5 linked regions of the Kluyveromyces lactis genome follow. The protein of the gene in region 5 interacts with the protein of the main gene of each other region in a pairwise test. Links are inferred from orthologs where the notes say so. Each region holds a gene or a part of one and is shown on either strand. Other genes may lie near its edges. The genes, in order: SEC9, TLG2, VPS45, SEC17 and TLG1.

Region 1 (3,417 bases), on a different chromosome or scaffold from region 5:
AGCTCATCTCATCTCATCTTGCGGATGGTTGATTCGGCTTGAATTAGTACAGTTCTTCTGACTTATAAACACTAGTTCTGCTTGTTACGCCAGTATACCACTGCAGATAAATCAACTGAAATTATGGCGACTAGGACACAATTTGAGAATTCTAACGAAATTGGTGTGTTTTCGAAGCTAACTAACTCGTACTGTTTGGTGGCACTTGGTGGTTCGGAGAACTTTTATTCTGCGTTTGAAGCCGAATTAGGAGATGCTATTCCTATTGCTCATACCACTATTGCAGGTACGAGGATTGTTGGTCGTATGACTGCTGGTAACCGTAGAGGGTTATTGGTTCCAACTCAAACTACCGACCAAGAATTACAACATTTGAGAAACTGTTTGCCAGATGCTGTGAAGGTTCAAAGAGTTGAGGAGAGATTATCTGCGTTAGGTAATGTTATCTGTTGTAATGATTATGTTGCTTTGGTTCATCCAGACATCGACAGAGAAACTGAGGAGTTGATTGCCGATGTCTTAGGTGTTGAAGTTTTCCGTCAAACAATTTCGGGTAACGTTCTTGTTGGTTCATATTGTGCGTTGTCTAACCAAGGTGGTCTAGTGCATCCTCAGACTACAGTACAAGACCAAGAAGAACTTTCCTCTTTGTTGCAAGTCCCACTAGTTGCTGGTACTGTGAACCGTGGTTCGCAAGTCGTCGGTGCTGGTATGGTCGTGAACGACTATTTGGCAGTTACTGGTCTAGATACCACCGCTCCAGAATTAAGTGTGATCGAATCTATCTTCCGTCTACAAGACGCTCAACCAGAAGCTATCTCTGGTAACTTGCGTGATACTTTGATCGAAACTTACTCATAAAAGGAATTGATACAATCGCTCTCTTCTGTCATTTATATCGTTTTGGCCCCCATTATCGCCCCATTTTTTAATGTAATATTGGTGTATATCTCTGGATCTGTATAGTACAATTTTTATTTTGATTGCTCTTTGGCATTTGCATCAACCCCATACTGTTTATTTCCTTCTTTCTTTTGTATTTTGTGCATCGTGGTTCACTAAGTACTACTGGACCCAAAAGAAACCTTTAAATTTAAATGAAACAAAAGAATCGAAAAGTTGTAGTTCCTTTAACATCAATTTTTAGATAGGTAAAGACAAGGTAAAAGGGGAACATCGATCAAATAAGGTTAAAAGGTTGCTGTTACCGTAGTGAAACCATGGGTATTAAGAAGTTCTTCAAGATCAAGCCACCTCCAGAGGCTACCCCCGAAGAAAACCGTGAATATTTGAACGAGTTAGGAATTTCCACCAAGACTACACCATCAAATAGAAGAGAAAAGTTTGCCGCATATGGGAAGTTTGCTAACGATAAGGTCAAAAGTAAGGTCTATGCACCAGAAGGATATGAACAATATGCGAATCCTGGAGCTCAGCCTTCTGAGCGACAGCAGTTGGATGATTTGAACAACTCTCCTTACGATGAAGTCTCCATGATTAACAATAGAAACGCTTCTGCCAGCGCTCGACACACGGGCAACTACGTTGATCCATATAGCAATGATAATGCATCTCCGTATGGGAACAGTGATTCCTCTCCCTATGGAAATGCAAGTGCTTCTCCATATGATACCGGTTACAACGCGCCACTGCAGCAGAACAATAACCCGTATGGATCAATGAATAATAGCTACAGCAACAAAAGCTATGGCAGTAACAGCTATAGTGGTGATACATACGCAAGTCCGTCTCCGCAGGCATCTAGCAGCAATAATAATGGTGCTACCGGTCAGAGACCTAGTAACCCTTATGCTAACATGAACAGTCAGGATCCGTATGGAACAAATTCGTATTCAAATTCTGGTAGCGTGAATGCATATAAGGGCTTTACTCCAAATGTGGCGGCTTCTGATGTTTCAAGTAGATCTTATGCCTCACCTCGTCACTCTACATCTGCAACCAGATCAAACGACCGTGAATTTAATTTCGAACGGTCCGGAGCTGATGACGAAATAGATCTCAATGAGACAATTAGGCCAGAAATTGATAATCCTAAGGGAGTTCAACGCAATGGCAACGGTGATGATGATGATTTAAACAATTCCATTCATGAGAACGAGGGTATTGGGACCCCTGCAAAGGGTTATCAGACATTTGAAGATATTCAAAAAGAAAGTCAGCGTGCTGAACAACAAGAAGAAGATGAAGAAGTAGATGGGATCAAGCAACAGATCAAATTTACAAAACAGAGTTCAGTTGCCAGTACGAGAAACACGCTAAAGATGGCACAGGATGCTGAATTAGCTGGTATGAATACCATCGGTATGTTAGGACATCAATCGGAGAAATTGAACAATGTGGAAAGAAACCTGAATTTAATGCAAATCCAGAACAGAGTTGCCGATGATAAAGTGAGTGAATTGAAGAAGTTAAACCGGAACATTTTAGCGGTCCATGTATCGAATCCGTTCCATAGTAAGAGACGTGCACGCGAAGCGGAAGATAAGATAAAGTTACAAAGGATGCAGGACAAACAAAACCAAGAGGATATCACGTCGACGTTACACCAAAGTACGAAACGTATCGAGAATGCCATGTCGAGTGGACATGGTCCATCTGAAGTTCGTGATCGGTACCAGAACCAGCAGATCTTAGAGAAGGCTAAAAGGTATCAGTTCGAGAACGACGAAGAAGATGATGAAATGGAAATGGAAATCGACAAGAACTTGGATAAGATTGGACAAATCAGTGGTAGGTTAAAGAAACTTGCGATTACCACTGGTAAGGAGATAGATTCTCAACAAGATCGGATCAAGCGGATTGAGGAGAGCACCGATGATTTGGATATCAAGATCCATGTGAACACGACTAGGTTAACCAATATAAGATGAAGGAAGAGTCTTATAAATAAAATGTTAATTAAAAAATGCAAAATGTGAGATCGTTAAAGTCGCCATGGCGGGGGTATACATCATAAACATATTCTATATAATATCAGAAAGTACTGCTGTATCTTATCTATCTTCGATGTAGAAAATGTGTGAAAGCGATTGTGCCAGGAGTTCCACCTGGAGGAGGAAAAGGGGCCAGCATAAGAGAGCCCATATAATCATAGCGTGTTGTTCATAAAGAGAGTGAGTGTGTTTGTGTTGTGTTTGTGTTTAAGTATTGCAAAGTTATTGTGATGTTCAGGAATCCTCTTAACTATCCTGTCAAATTATAGTTCAACCAAAGCTTGTAGTTATCCTCAGCAGTATGATCCGTGTAACTGACAAACTCTTGATCCTTCCCAACGACAGAACGCGGTATCGTCATCATCGGAAGTGAAGCCCCATGTCCTAATGTGTTCCTATCCAGTGACAATTCCAGATCGAAATCCATATCATCTTGATCTCGATCTAGAAGATCATATATCGT
Region 2 (2,806 bases), on a different chromosome or scaffold from region 5:
CGTGCATTGAGGACACAGAGAAATTCGTCTGTGTCAACTTCCTGGATAACCAATCCACTTTTTTCCTTGTATTACAGAATATCACACATTGTGTTATCGTTAACGAATCGTATAGATCACAGAGTGTATCAAACTTCCATTCTTCCTTTTCTACATCCACATAATATTGCTTTATCACGTCCAAGGATATCTCATCCCGCTTAACCAATATCTTCACCGGGTCACTCATGAACTTCTTGGTGATCTCTAATATATCTTTACTCATTGTAGCACTTACCACCACGACTTGAATCGTCGGTGGTAACTTGGTGAAAATGTCGTAGATTTGTTGTTTAAACCCCAAAGTTTCTCCGAGTAGTTCATCTGCTTCATCGAGAACTAAGATCTTACAGTTTCTAACGTTCAATACTTGTCTCTTGATCATATCTAGTACACGGCCCGGTGTACCACTGACCACTTGACAATTTTTCGATACTTTCTTGATATCTTGTTGTAAGGCCTTACCTCCTGTGCACGCATGTGCTGTAACGTTCAAATAGTCTCCTAGGTTAGATATCACAGATTCACTTTGACTCGCTAGTTCTCTTGTTGGTGATAAGACCAATGCTTGTAACTCTTTGCTCTTAGAATCAATTGCTTGTAATAATCCAATGGTAAATGTGGCCGTCTTACCGGTACCAGACTGTGCCTGGGCAATCACATCTTTTCCTGAGATAATCTGAGAAATGGCTCTAGACTGAATGGATGATGGATATTCAAAGCCGTAAAAATATATGCCTCGTAACAAATCCGGTTTCAAGTTCATCGACTCAAAAGTGGCAGATACCTTGAGCTTCTTTGAAGTCTTAAACTTCAACTTCGAGTCATCATCTCTGTTGAACGACATTGTTGATGTGATGATTCCCTTTCTTAACAACAGTAACTCCCGGTTACACTTCACTTGGACCTACCGTTGCAGCCTCTATTTCAATGCATCTCATCGCATCTCATCTTATCGTTGTGCTTGCCAAATTTTCCATTTTTTAAAGGTTTTAAGCTGAGAACCGAAAGTTCAACAACACTTTAAGGTGTCAAATTACAAGTGTATGTAAATAACTGCAGAACAACTGGTCGAGTGGCTCGATCTAGTGATTATTTAGATCAGATTAGTGGTAGTGCGTGCTTTCTTCCCTTGTTTGCTTTTGAACTGCACCATGTTTCGTGATAGAACTAATTTGTTTTTATCCTATAGGAGAACTTTCCCCCATCAGAGGCTTTCGAGTACCAAGCATCTACGATCGAATAAAGATTTGGAGAACCAGCCATTCATTGGTAGTGACGATGGTAACAATGATGAAGATATGGTTGCTATGGATGATTTCTCCCGTCAATTACCGCCAAAATTTTTCGATTTAACGTTCCAAGTGGATGAGTCGTTATCTGCAGTAGATCAATTGTTGCTACAGTTGACGAAACTATATCAAAAGAACTCTTTACCAGGATTCCAGGACAATAAGCAGGATGAGGAGGAGATTGAGCAGATAAGTTTCCAGGTAATTAAGAGATTCCAAGAATGTTTTGGTGTTATCAAGACTCTTACGAGAATTAAGGATTCTCAATATTCGAATGGTAAGCAGCTAAGCAAGGACGAGTTAAGGATATTGGATAACCTAGAAAAGAACTACGCTTTGAAAGTGCAAGACAAATCGCAGAAGTTCAGAATATTACAGAATAATCATTTGAAGTTTTTGAATAAAGATGATTTCAAACCACTACCCACTACGAAATCAAGTAACGATACATTGATGTTGTTGGAGGAAGAAGTTGAAGGAGATGAAGTCAATAACATCGACTCATATTCAAAGCAGACTTTACAAAAACAGAATCAGAAGTTACAGGATAACAATCAGCAATTTTTGCAACAAAGAGATGAGGAAATTACACAGTTAGCGAAAGGTGTACTCGAAGTTAGTACTATTTTCAGGGAAATGCAGTCTTTGATCATAGATCAAGGTACAGTGGTCGATAGGATCGATTATAACTTAGAAAACACGGTTATTGAATTAAAGCAGGCCCAAAAGGAGTTAGACAAGGCAACGCACTACCAAAAACGGAGTCAAAAATGTAAAATTATTCTATTTCTATCTTTGGTCGTTCTAGCGTTATTCCTCCTTGTCATGCTGAAACCTCATCACCATACTATACGAGAATCAGCTCCTTCAAAATCTCACAAACCTCCTGGATCACAAGTGGAGGTCAATTCTCCTAATGGAGACCCGTTGCTGGATCCAGAAAGTAATGTAGAATAAAAATGGTCAAATATTAATGAACTTGCTTATGATGGAGAAACTGCATCGAACTTCGAAAACAAATTTTGATATCGTGATAGAAGTAAACGACCACTGTCGAATTGGTAACAGTAGAAAGGTTCAAAAAAGTTAACTAGAGAGGAGGTCTATATATTATCTGTTACAGTAAATAGAATAAATTTGTTTAAAAAGTGAGTGGTTTCAGTATGAATATTACAATCAGAACTTAAAATGCTCCATAGGGACTGTCTCTTGACATGGATGCAGAGGTAGGTTATTTTTTCTTGGGAGCCTTTTCCTATAAGCAGGTTTATAGTGCATTGAAGATGCTGGTGCGGAGTTTAGCCCTGCACTCCTTTGGCTATTTCCGTATGATGCTGGACCAGTTCCGATGGAGAATTCAGGGTTTGATTGTAATAAGAAATCTGATGCAGACGGACCAGCCGAATACGGAGGTTGTGGTTGTTGTGGTTGTTGTTGCTGTACTGGTAGTGGCGGAGGGTGGTAGTATCCTTGTT
Region 3 (3,465 bases), about 1.4 Mb from region 5:
TAATATCCTCATGCTCCGTAGTTTCCACATTATAAGATTTCTGCAGATTACCGTTTCCATTATTGAAATCAAACATATGTTGCCTGTGGCGTCTTAGACTATTCGTGTTCGATATAGTGTCCTGATTGCCAGGGTCAATAAGGTCATCTTCCCTGTCAGGAGCGTCAATTTTGTCATTATCCATTGGGCTCACAGCTCTTGATGAAATATGATCATCATCTGCATCAACTCTGTTTCTAAGCCGTGACGGTGGTTTATAGCTCAATGGCCTTTGTAGAGGTCTACCAGAATCCACTCTTAACCCAGCTCTGTCCTGAAAATCATTGATGCTATGCATCGAGTTCCTCTGAGTTGTTGAATTTTTGCCCGTTCCATTTATTGTCTCATCATCTGATGCATCATCTCCTTCTATATCGGTGAAAGACTCTACCTCTTCATCAGTCATAGAATCGTTATCCCCAGAATCGTGAAGATCTAGGATGACGGACTTGGAGTTCCTATCACTAATTAGGCCCTTATGCTTCATGCTGTGACTATTCTGGTGTAGCACAACTGGATGAGATGATGTTCTTACCAATGCCGTCATACTGAGACCACTGTGTACCGTGCGTCTGTTCAATGAGTCCGAACTCTTCGATTTCTTCATAGGATCGAAAAGTCCTCTATTCAATGCATCGTGGCTTCCTACCTTGTGTAATTTCTGTAAGTTCTTGAAACTGGTGTTGCTCTTGCTCCTAGATTTTGCAGAGAACTGTTTAGGTTTTCCATGTCCTTTCTTCTGCTTCATATACTGTGATAGACTGGTATCTGAATTAGTCTTCACAGGCTTCACACGGGAAATTGTGGCCATTGTTGTAAAGAATAGCCAGTAGCCTCAACTTAAGAATTATTACCTTGACTGTACAGAATTGTGGAAAAATTGCTATTTCCCACCTAAATGTAAAGTTTGGAATCACAGGCTATAGCAAGATTGTTGTTCCTGTGTTTGTTTGTAGTTAAACAAAGATGGATTGATGTGTGCCAGAATCTTAGTTTCAACTCTTTTTGAAAATAAGTATTAAAGGAGAAATGACCTTAAACTTTTGCATGGAACAAAGTAGCAGTGAGAAACGGTAGATTAAGGCTGCTGTAGCGCGTGCCAACGGTGAATCAGCAATTAAGATATCCAAGTTCTTTTGAAATTGAGAGGATAGAGCACTTTTTCGTAATGAATTTGTTTACGGTTGGTGATTATTATATCAGCAGAATCGCAAATTTCCAGTCCAAACCGTCGGACACCTCGATACAGGAGAAGTCGAGAGTAAAGGCATTGATTTTGGATAATGACACACTCTCTACGATATCGATGTGTACTACTCAAACCGAGCTATTAAAGCACGAGATTTACTTGGTCGATAAACTTGAGAATATTCACAGAGATCCAATGCCACATTTGAAATGTTTATGCTATTTGAAACCCACTGAGGATACGATTCAAGACCTATTACACGAATTACAGGATCCCAAGTATGGCGAATACCAGATTTTCTTCAATAACCAGGTGAGTAAGTCCCAGTTGGAACGGTTAGCCGAAAGAGATGATATGGAGGTTGTCACACATGTAGAAGAAGTTTTCCAAGACTACCTAATTGTGAACGAGGATGTCTTCACTTTAGAGATCCCGTTGTACAATCTTCTCCAAAATCAATTGGTATGGGATCCAAAGGGATTGCAGGAGACGTCTAACGGGTTAATCTCATTGCTACTATCGTTAAAACTAAATCCGACAATTGCGTATGACTCGGATAGCAAATTGTGTCAAAAGTTAGCTAAGGATTTAGAGTATGAAATTAAGACAAATGAAAGGCAGTTATTTGATTTTCCCGTCAGAGATTCGAATCCGTTACTAATTTTACTTGACAGGAAATCGGATCCATTGACACCATTACTTCAACCGTGGACCTATCAATCGATGATAAATGAATATATCGGAATAAAAAGAAACTTGGTAGACCTTTCGAATGTACCAAATATCGATCCCGATTTGAAGCAGGTTGTACTCTCTTCAAAACAAGATAAGTTCTTCAAAGAAACAATGTATATGAATTTTGGTGATTTGGCAGATAAGGTGAAGAACTATGTTACTCAGTATAAAAATAAGACCAACATTACCAAACAAATCAATACGATAGAAGATATTAAAGAGTTCATCGAAAAGTTCCCCGAATTTAAGAAACTCTCAGGCAACATTTCAAAACATATGGCCATTGTTAGTGAATTAGATAGGCAATTACAACTGAAGAATATATGGGAAGTCAGTGAGCTAGAGCAAAACCTCTCTTCACATGATGACAATAACGATGACTTTGTAGAACTGAAGAGAATTCTAAACTTACCAACCTTAGAATCATATTACAAATTAAAATTATGCTGCATTTTTGTTCTACGACACGGCAAGAACGAATCTAGAGTTTCTGAGTTGGAGAATATTCTAAGACAACAGTGTGATCCCACACAAATTTCTCTTTACTTTCAATTTAAACAGAGATTTGGGTCAATATTCAATAAACACAAAGCTCCTCAGGACAATGATTTGATTAGTGGATTAACCAAGAAATTCAACAGATTAGGCAGCACCAGCGCTGAAAATGTGTTTATGCAACATGTTCCTGAATTGACAACACTTCTCAGCGATTTGGATAAAAACAAGTTCCCACAAGAGGGAGTGACTCTTTTAAACCAAAATATTGACCCTAAGACATATATGCCACAAGATGTTGTTATATTGATCGTCGGAGGCCTCACTATAGAAGAAGCGCGCGCAGTACATCAATTCAATGAGAAACAGAGTAAAAATAAGGACAATTGCAGAGTTATCATTGGAGGAACCTCGATTATTTCTACAGAGCAATTTTTAACAGATGTTTGCGCCGTTAATGATAAACCAGTTGACTTATTATGAACTTACGTATGTACTTCAGATGTAGAATTAGGTAAGGAAATGTATGAAACAAGAAAAGAACACTCTCTATCATGCTTTTAAGAAGCTGGACTAAACTTTTGCTCCCAAAGCAGTAATTTCCTCGTTAGCTCATCCATCGTTTTGAAGGATTCGTCGTAACTGGAGAATATTTTATTAATATTTTCCAGGAATTCTTCGTTTTCCACAAACTGGCACAACTGATCCCGTTGACGTTGGTCATTAGATATTTCTAACTGTGTCCTTGAGATAAATTCCAGAATAGCGTTAACTCTTCTTCTCATTTCATGCATAGTGGTCCTCTGAGAGGGAATCCTGGGTTTTAGAGGCTTGTTGATTCCGATATCATTAGATTGTCCATTAGATTTCGACAAGTTTGAACTTCCAGAGGAACCCGATCCTTTTGAGCTGCTAGCTTTAGAATTCCTTGCAACTCTTCCACTTGAGGTCTTGTAAATCCTTGAGTTACTTTGCGTGGTTGAACCATTGCTCTTACCTCTTCTTGA
Region 4 (2,976 bases), about 210 kb from region 5:
GCTTGTTTTAGTGGACAGTGGATCTTTCATCCTCACAGTTTTTTCAATTCTGCAAACTTGACGAGTTTCAAACTCATTTACAATACCAACCAGTTTTCATCTTTAGCAAGTGATTAGAATTTAAAGATTGTATAGGTTGTTAACTACGTTTTATAGTTGTTCATATTCACTCTTATATACCCTCCAGAAACCAAGCAAACACAAAGAAACCAAAATGTATGATACCTAATGCACACCGCGCACAGTTATGGGGCCGAAGAACTCAGTGATCGATATAACAAGTTGAACTATGAACTATGATAGACTAGACGATGAGGATTGAAGAAGACGAAGAAGAAGCAGACTGATACGATACAGGCAGACTGACCTGTTCACTAGGAGATGGAATCAACATAGAAGAAGTGTAGTGACAAATGGGTAACTGGAATTATACCATAAGCACAAGAAACTACAGCTAGATGCAAAATTCCAGTGTGATGATTTATAGTGTCAGCTCCACACGCACGACAGCAGAATAAATGACGATCTATTAGACCTCCTCCCCCAAAAAAACTGTTGTTCCTTTAATTGCAACAATTTTACTAACTTTTATATCTGTGTTATTACCCATTCTACCTGTGGTATCGATTCATTACCACCCATTATGTGAACAAATTGAATCGAACTATTGGAATCGGACGTAATGAATACACAATTCATTTTATATTCAGGGCTAAAAGAACTAAGAAGGTTGGTATCACTGGTAAGTACGGTGTCCGTTACGGTTCCTCTTTGAGAAGACAAGTTAAGAAGTTGGAAGTTCAACAACACGCCACTTATAACTGTTCTTTCTGTGGTAAGACTTGTGTTAAGAGAGGTGCTGCTGGTGTCTGGTCTTGTTCTTCTTGTAACAGAACCATCGCTGGTGGTGCTTACACTTTGTCTACCGCCGCTGCCGCTACCGTCAGATCTACCATCAGAAGATTGAGAGACATGGCTGAAGCTTAAGCTTGTTGCATCGTATAATCATGTTATAAGTATCCTTCAATAAAACGTATCTTTCCACTTTGTGTTATTTTATATTCCATCTACCCTATATAACTGATTTAGGCGTGATGGTCGAGTGTTCATCCTCGCGTCCAGCCAAATACCTTGGACCGGCTCCCAGGCCAGCCTATTTGAAAGTCACGTGAATTAATTACCCGGCTGCTGATAGCCTTCCGTTGTTTCTCCCCTTAAGGAATTTCTTTACTTTCTGATGGTAATTAGAATATGTAACATGTAATGATGATACAATGTTGATAGTTTGATAGTAAAAGTTGTAAGCAAGCTCTTGGTTGACAAAAGTTAACAGCATTCAGCCATATCCCACTCAGGTTTTCTTTGAATATGTCGGATGTTAAAGAAATTATAGCTAAGGTACGTTTTTTCTCCATCATTTATGTTGAAAGGTCAAATCAATAAGTCTAGGAAAGTATGATGACAATGGTTGACCTTATTCTCGCCTGAACCCCTAATACTAACAATAAACATATGCAAACCCTAGCCATAATGTGATGAAAGAGGAAGTGATTTATCATTCGTATTCTCTCTTTTTCACTTAATGGTATGGAAACATATCTCATGTCATTTTTGTAATAGGCCGAAAAGAAGGCTAAACCATCATCAGGATTTTTCAGTTTCCTTAGCGGTTCAGACTCTTACCGTTACGAAGAAGCAGCAGATCTTTATATCGAGGCTGCAAACCTCTATAGGCTAAGAAAGGAGTTGGATCAAGCGGGTGATACTTTCTTGAGGGCAGCAGAGTGTCAAATACAGGCTTCTAATGAAGATGAAGCAGGAAATACGTATATCGAAGCCTACAAGTGTTTCAAGACAGGATCTTCTCCAGCACAAGCTGCTGAGTCCTTAGCCAAGTCGATAGATATTTTCACAAGAAGAGGTCAGTTTAGAAGAGGTGCCAACTTCAAATTCGAATTGGCTGAATTACAAGAACAGCAATTACAGGATTACCCAAGTGCCATTGCCAATTATGAAACAGCTGGTGATTGGTATTTGCAAGACCAAGCTATTGCTCTCTCGAATAAATCCTACATTAAATGCGCCGATTTGAAAGCTTTGAACGGTGATTATTTGGAAGCTACCGAGATCTTAAAGAAAGTCGTTGAAAATTCATTGGGGAATAAATTAAGCCAGTGGTCGCTCAAAGAGTACTTATTGAAGATTGGCCTATGTTACCTTGCTGCTGGTGATGTTGTAGCTGCAGATAAAAGTTTGAACGAATCACAATCGTTGGATCCATCATTCTCTCAATCAAGGGAGTTTGAGTTACTATCAAACGTAATTGAAGCTGTAAGGGAAGGTGATACTGAAAAATTATCGCAAAAGATCTACGAATATGATAGGTTCAATAAGTTAGACCATTGGAAAACAACTATACTCTTGAAGGTGAAAAATACAATCGTCGAGGCGGATGACGATCTACTATAAAATGGTAATATTCAACTCATTCTCTTGTAATTGTATTCTTTTCTCTAACACAACTGTCACTTTTTTGGTGGAATAATTATTTTATAAATGGTGTATACCCATTTGTACAACCACATCGAGTGGTTTGTTTCACGTTAACGTCTTTCATTTCCCATTATCAACTATATCGATGCAAATAAGCTTGCCATCTGGCTTGGACGTTTGGAAATTTTGAAGATGTTAATGGTAACGAAAATGTTTTTTAAGCTTCTGACGAACGGCTCCCTTACCGTTTTGAATAAATATACAATTAAGTAAGAAATGTATCACAATTTTTTACATCTTCTTACGGTAAGAAACAAACCTAATATTTCAGAATGCTGGTACAATTTTTAATGAATATGATGATACTTCCTCAGCAAATCTACTAGATGAGCCTACGCAAAAGGCAGTTGATTGATAATATCACTAGATGAATGAAAACACATCAACTGAGGGGTAACATGATCTCTAAAACGTTCAGATAAG
Region 5 (2,524 bases):
CCGTTGGATCTCGTCAGAGTTAGGTTAATTATCTCTTCTGTTCGTAACGATGGTTCCCTTTCTGATAACGATAGATCCTTAAGAAAATTGTTGAGAAAATGGTCCTGGAGGGAAAACATATCCAAACTAAATAAGGAATTGGTCTTTTTGAATATATTATATTCCCTGGTAGGGACAGGATTTAGCAAATTAACCGGTGCAATACTATATCATCAGTTCAATGTTGACAAATTCACTAATGTGATTCTGTACAACACATTAAAGTTCTGCAGTAAAGTTTGTGAACTCTTCGTAAAGCTACCAATTGAGAATCTATTGAGAAGGAGTCAAGTGAAGTTCTTGTTCACAGAAAACCCATTCCAAGTACAATCTGAAATGTTAATCATAAAACCAAGGGAGTACCAATCCATCTACCTGACGGTATTCAAGCAGTGCGACAGAATTAGTGAACTATGGCGAGGCTGGAGACTCGGGCTTCTAAGCATTTTATGCGGTTATGGTTTGAAGATTTTAAATAAGCCATCAGAAATACTCGAAGAGGAGAAGTTTTAGTTCATGTAGATATCTATAAGTGAACTGGACATTGAAGGAAAACATACATATATAAAATAATAATAATAATACAGATGTCTTTAGTTTAAGAAAGTCGTAAATTCATATCTACGATGAAGGCTTCTGGTTCATTTCGCTTGCATCAATCAAGAACTGGCCTAATACTCGAAGTGGATCCTCGGGCTTTTCTCTGGCTATCAGTTTCATTCCTTCCAATAAATGTTTTGTTACATGTTCATTCAAATATCTTCTAGTGGTTGACCCACCGATCATCGCTACTGGATCAACACGATCATGATCAATTTGTAGTTCCTTCTTGGGTGATACTTCTCTTTCTGTTGTAGCTGCAGTTGCAGAGGTAACAGTTCCAGATGATTCCCTTGGTATACCCGATGGAGACAGGGGTTCAGTGGTAGAAATCGAAGAGACGCCAATATCCGGTACAATATGTTCTTCTTTCTCAAGTTTTACCACATCTTCAGGTGCCATATTCTCCATCACTGGTTCTGACATGTAGATAAGCTTCAGTTGTGGCAGGAGACCAGGATTGGAGCTTTATTCGGCCAAGTCTAGGTGTAGATCTGTCCATGTATATAGTCAAAACTCAGTGATTTTTCAAGATTGTCAATAATAAAAGGAAAATAATAACAAACTGAAATCTTAAACAAAGTTCACCAAGGCAGGTACAATTCGAGCTCCCCAAGAAACAGACCGCACTGAATCAGGTAATACCAATATTATATCAAAATTAACCACCAAAAGCAAAGAGGACAAAATGGATCCATTTATTCAGGTTTTCAAGGACACAGAGGAACAATTGAACCAATTATTGCAGATATTAGATAGGAAGAAGAAAGGGAGATCGAACACCAGTTCGAAAGAGATCTCGGAAATCATCTCTGAGGCTCAAGAGACTATCCAAGATCTAAATGAGAGTATAGAAATGATGAAACAGGAACAAGCTATTCCCGAATACGAAATTCAGACCCGTGAGAAGTCCATGGCAAACCTGGAATCAAAATTGAAACAATGCCAGTCGTTAAATATCGAGACAACCCGCGACACCGATGCAGCTACCCAATCATCATTGCTGCCGCAGCAACAACAGCGTGGCGATTCCTTCGATTTGGACATCGAGGCAACTGCAGGCACCGACCAATCAGACGCGGCAAACCACGACGCCGTACAGGAGCAATTACTCCGTGAACAAGACAATCAATTGGACATGATTCACCAGACAATGCAAAACATTCATCTACAGGCATCTACAATGGGTCAAGAACTAACAGAACAGGGCATGATTCTCGAAGAAATGGACGGAAATGTCGACGGAGTCATGAACAAACTTTCCAGAGGAAGACGACAACTAGAATGGGTCTACGAACACAACAAAGAACGTGTCAACGACTGCTGCATCTTTCTCTTAATCATTGCATTGATCATCCTACTAGTACTAGCATTCATTTTGTGATGTATATCACCGAATTTGAACCGGGAACCAAACAGAAACCAAAAAAGGAAGAAGACGATGCACATTCCCGAGTAACGAAAGGTGCGAAGTTTCCTAAGAGAAACTGACACAATTCTTGACCCCCCAGTTGACGGATCGTCATCGTCGTCGTTCCATTCCTCTGATAGACAAAATACCTCTCGACACTGTTGCGGTATGGAAAAAAATCGGAAATCACAACATACGACAGCGGCTTTGAAATCGTACCACAATGGAGCTTTCGAACTGATTTTTTTGTTGAAATATATAGAAAGTATGGAAACTGAGAAATGGAAAAGTATTAAGACCAAGTTAGTTTTTAAGGTACAAAAGCAAAAGGTTGCTTGCTGGATTGGGTTTTTTGCACGTCAAGCTACAGTGTCAGATCCAAGACTATCGAAGAGAGCGATTTCATTTAAGAGGCGAAGGGCACTAGGATTAGGACGGAGTTGATAATACTTACTGGCATTCATTCCCGGATTT

The links.
Region 1: the proteins of TLG1 (region 5) and SEC9 interact in a two-hybrid assay, tested with the Saccharomyces cerevisiae proteins (2 studies listed by BioGRID, with this or other methods). The link is inferred for Kluyveromyces lactis from reciprocal best matches to the Saccharomyces cerevisiae genes TLG1 and SEC9.
Region 2: the proteins of TLG1 (region 5) and TLG2 interact in binary tests that used the Saccharomyces cerevisiae proteins (3 or more experiments, as listed by UniProt). The link is inferred for Kluyveromyces lactis from reciprocal best matches to the Saccharomyces cerevisiae genes TLG1 and TLG2.
Region 3: the proteins of TLG1 (region 5) and VPS45 interact in binary tests that used the Saccharomyces cerevisiae proteins (3 or more experiments, as listed by UniProt). The link is inferred for Kluyveromyces lactis from reciprocal best matches to the Saccharomyces cerevisiae genes TLG1 and VPS45.
Region 4: the proteins of TLG1 (region 5) and SEC17 interact in binary tests that used the Saccharomyces cerevisiae proteins (3 or more experiments, as listed by UniProt). The link is inferred for Kluyveromyces lactis from reciprocal best matches to the Saccharomyces cerevisiae genes TLG1 and SEC17.

Annotation. Positions count from the first base shown.
Region 1 is NC_006040.1:173,351-176,767, reverse strand, and holds SEC9 (Sec9p), read left to right. Parts: upstream 1-1,220; coding exon 1,221-2,891; downstream 2,892-3,417. Other genes in the region: TIF6 (translation initiation factor 6), read left to right, coding at 124-861; ECL1 (Ecl1p), read right to left, coding at 3,205-3,417. UniProt on the Saccharomyces cerevisiae protein: Component of a SNARE complex that may be the effector of SEC4 function in exocytosis.
Region 2 is NC_006037.1:927,370-930,175, forward strand, and holds TLG2 (t-SNARE syntaxin TLG2), read left to right. Parts: upstream 1-1,193; coding exon 1,194-2,288; downstream 2,289-2,806. Other genes in the region: ATP-dependent RNA helicase FAL1, read right to left, coding at 1-886; KLLA0_A10703g (uncharacterized protein), read right to left, coding at 2,508-2,806. UniProt on the Saccharomyces cerevisiae protein: t-SNARE that functions in transport from the endosome to the late Golgi and on the endocytic pathway.
Region 3 is NC_006041.1:1,671,817-1,675,281, reverse strand, and holds VPS45 (Vps45p), read left to right. Parts: upstream 1-1,207; coding exon 1,208-2,941; downstream 2,942-3,465. Other genes in the region: TCO89 (Tco89p), read right to left, coding at 1-850; CTI6 (Cti6p), read right to left, coding at 3,019-3,465. UniProt on the Saccharomyces cerevisiae protein: Essential for vacuolar protein sorting. Function in membrane traffic between the Golgi and the vacuole.
Region 4 is NC_006041.1:529,687-532,662, reverse strand, and holds SEC17 (alpha-soluble NSF attachment protein SEC17), read left to right. Parts: upstream 1-1,368; coding exon 1,369-1,398; intron 1,399-1,620; coding exon 1,621-2,469; downstream 2,470-2,976. Other genes in the region: RPL43B (60S ribosomal protein eL43), read left to right, coding at 215-216, 711-987. UniProt on the Saccharomyces cerevisiae protein: SNARE complex protein that binds to cis-SNARE complexes on membranes and is required for vesicular transport between the endoplasmic reticulum and the Golgi apparatus and for homotypic vacuole fusion.
Region 5 is NC_006041.1:318,840-321,363, forward strand, and holds TLG1 (Tlg1p), read left to right. Parts: upstream 1-1,327; coding exon 1,328-2,023; downstream 2,024-2,524. Other genes in the region: mitofusin complex protein UGO1, read left to right, coding at 1-552; SDC1 (Sdc1p), read right to left, coding at 661-1,065.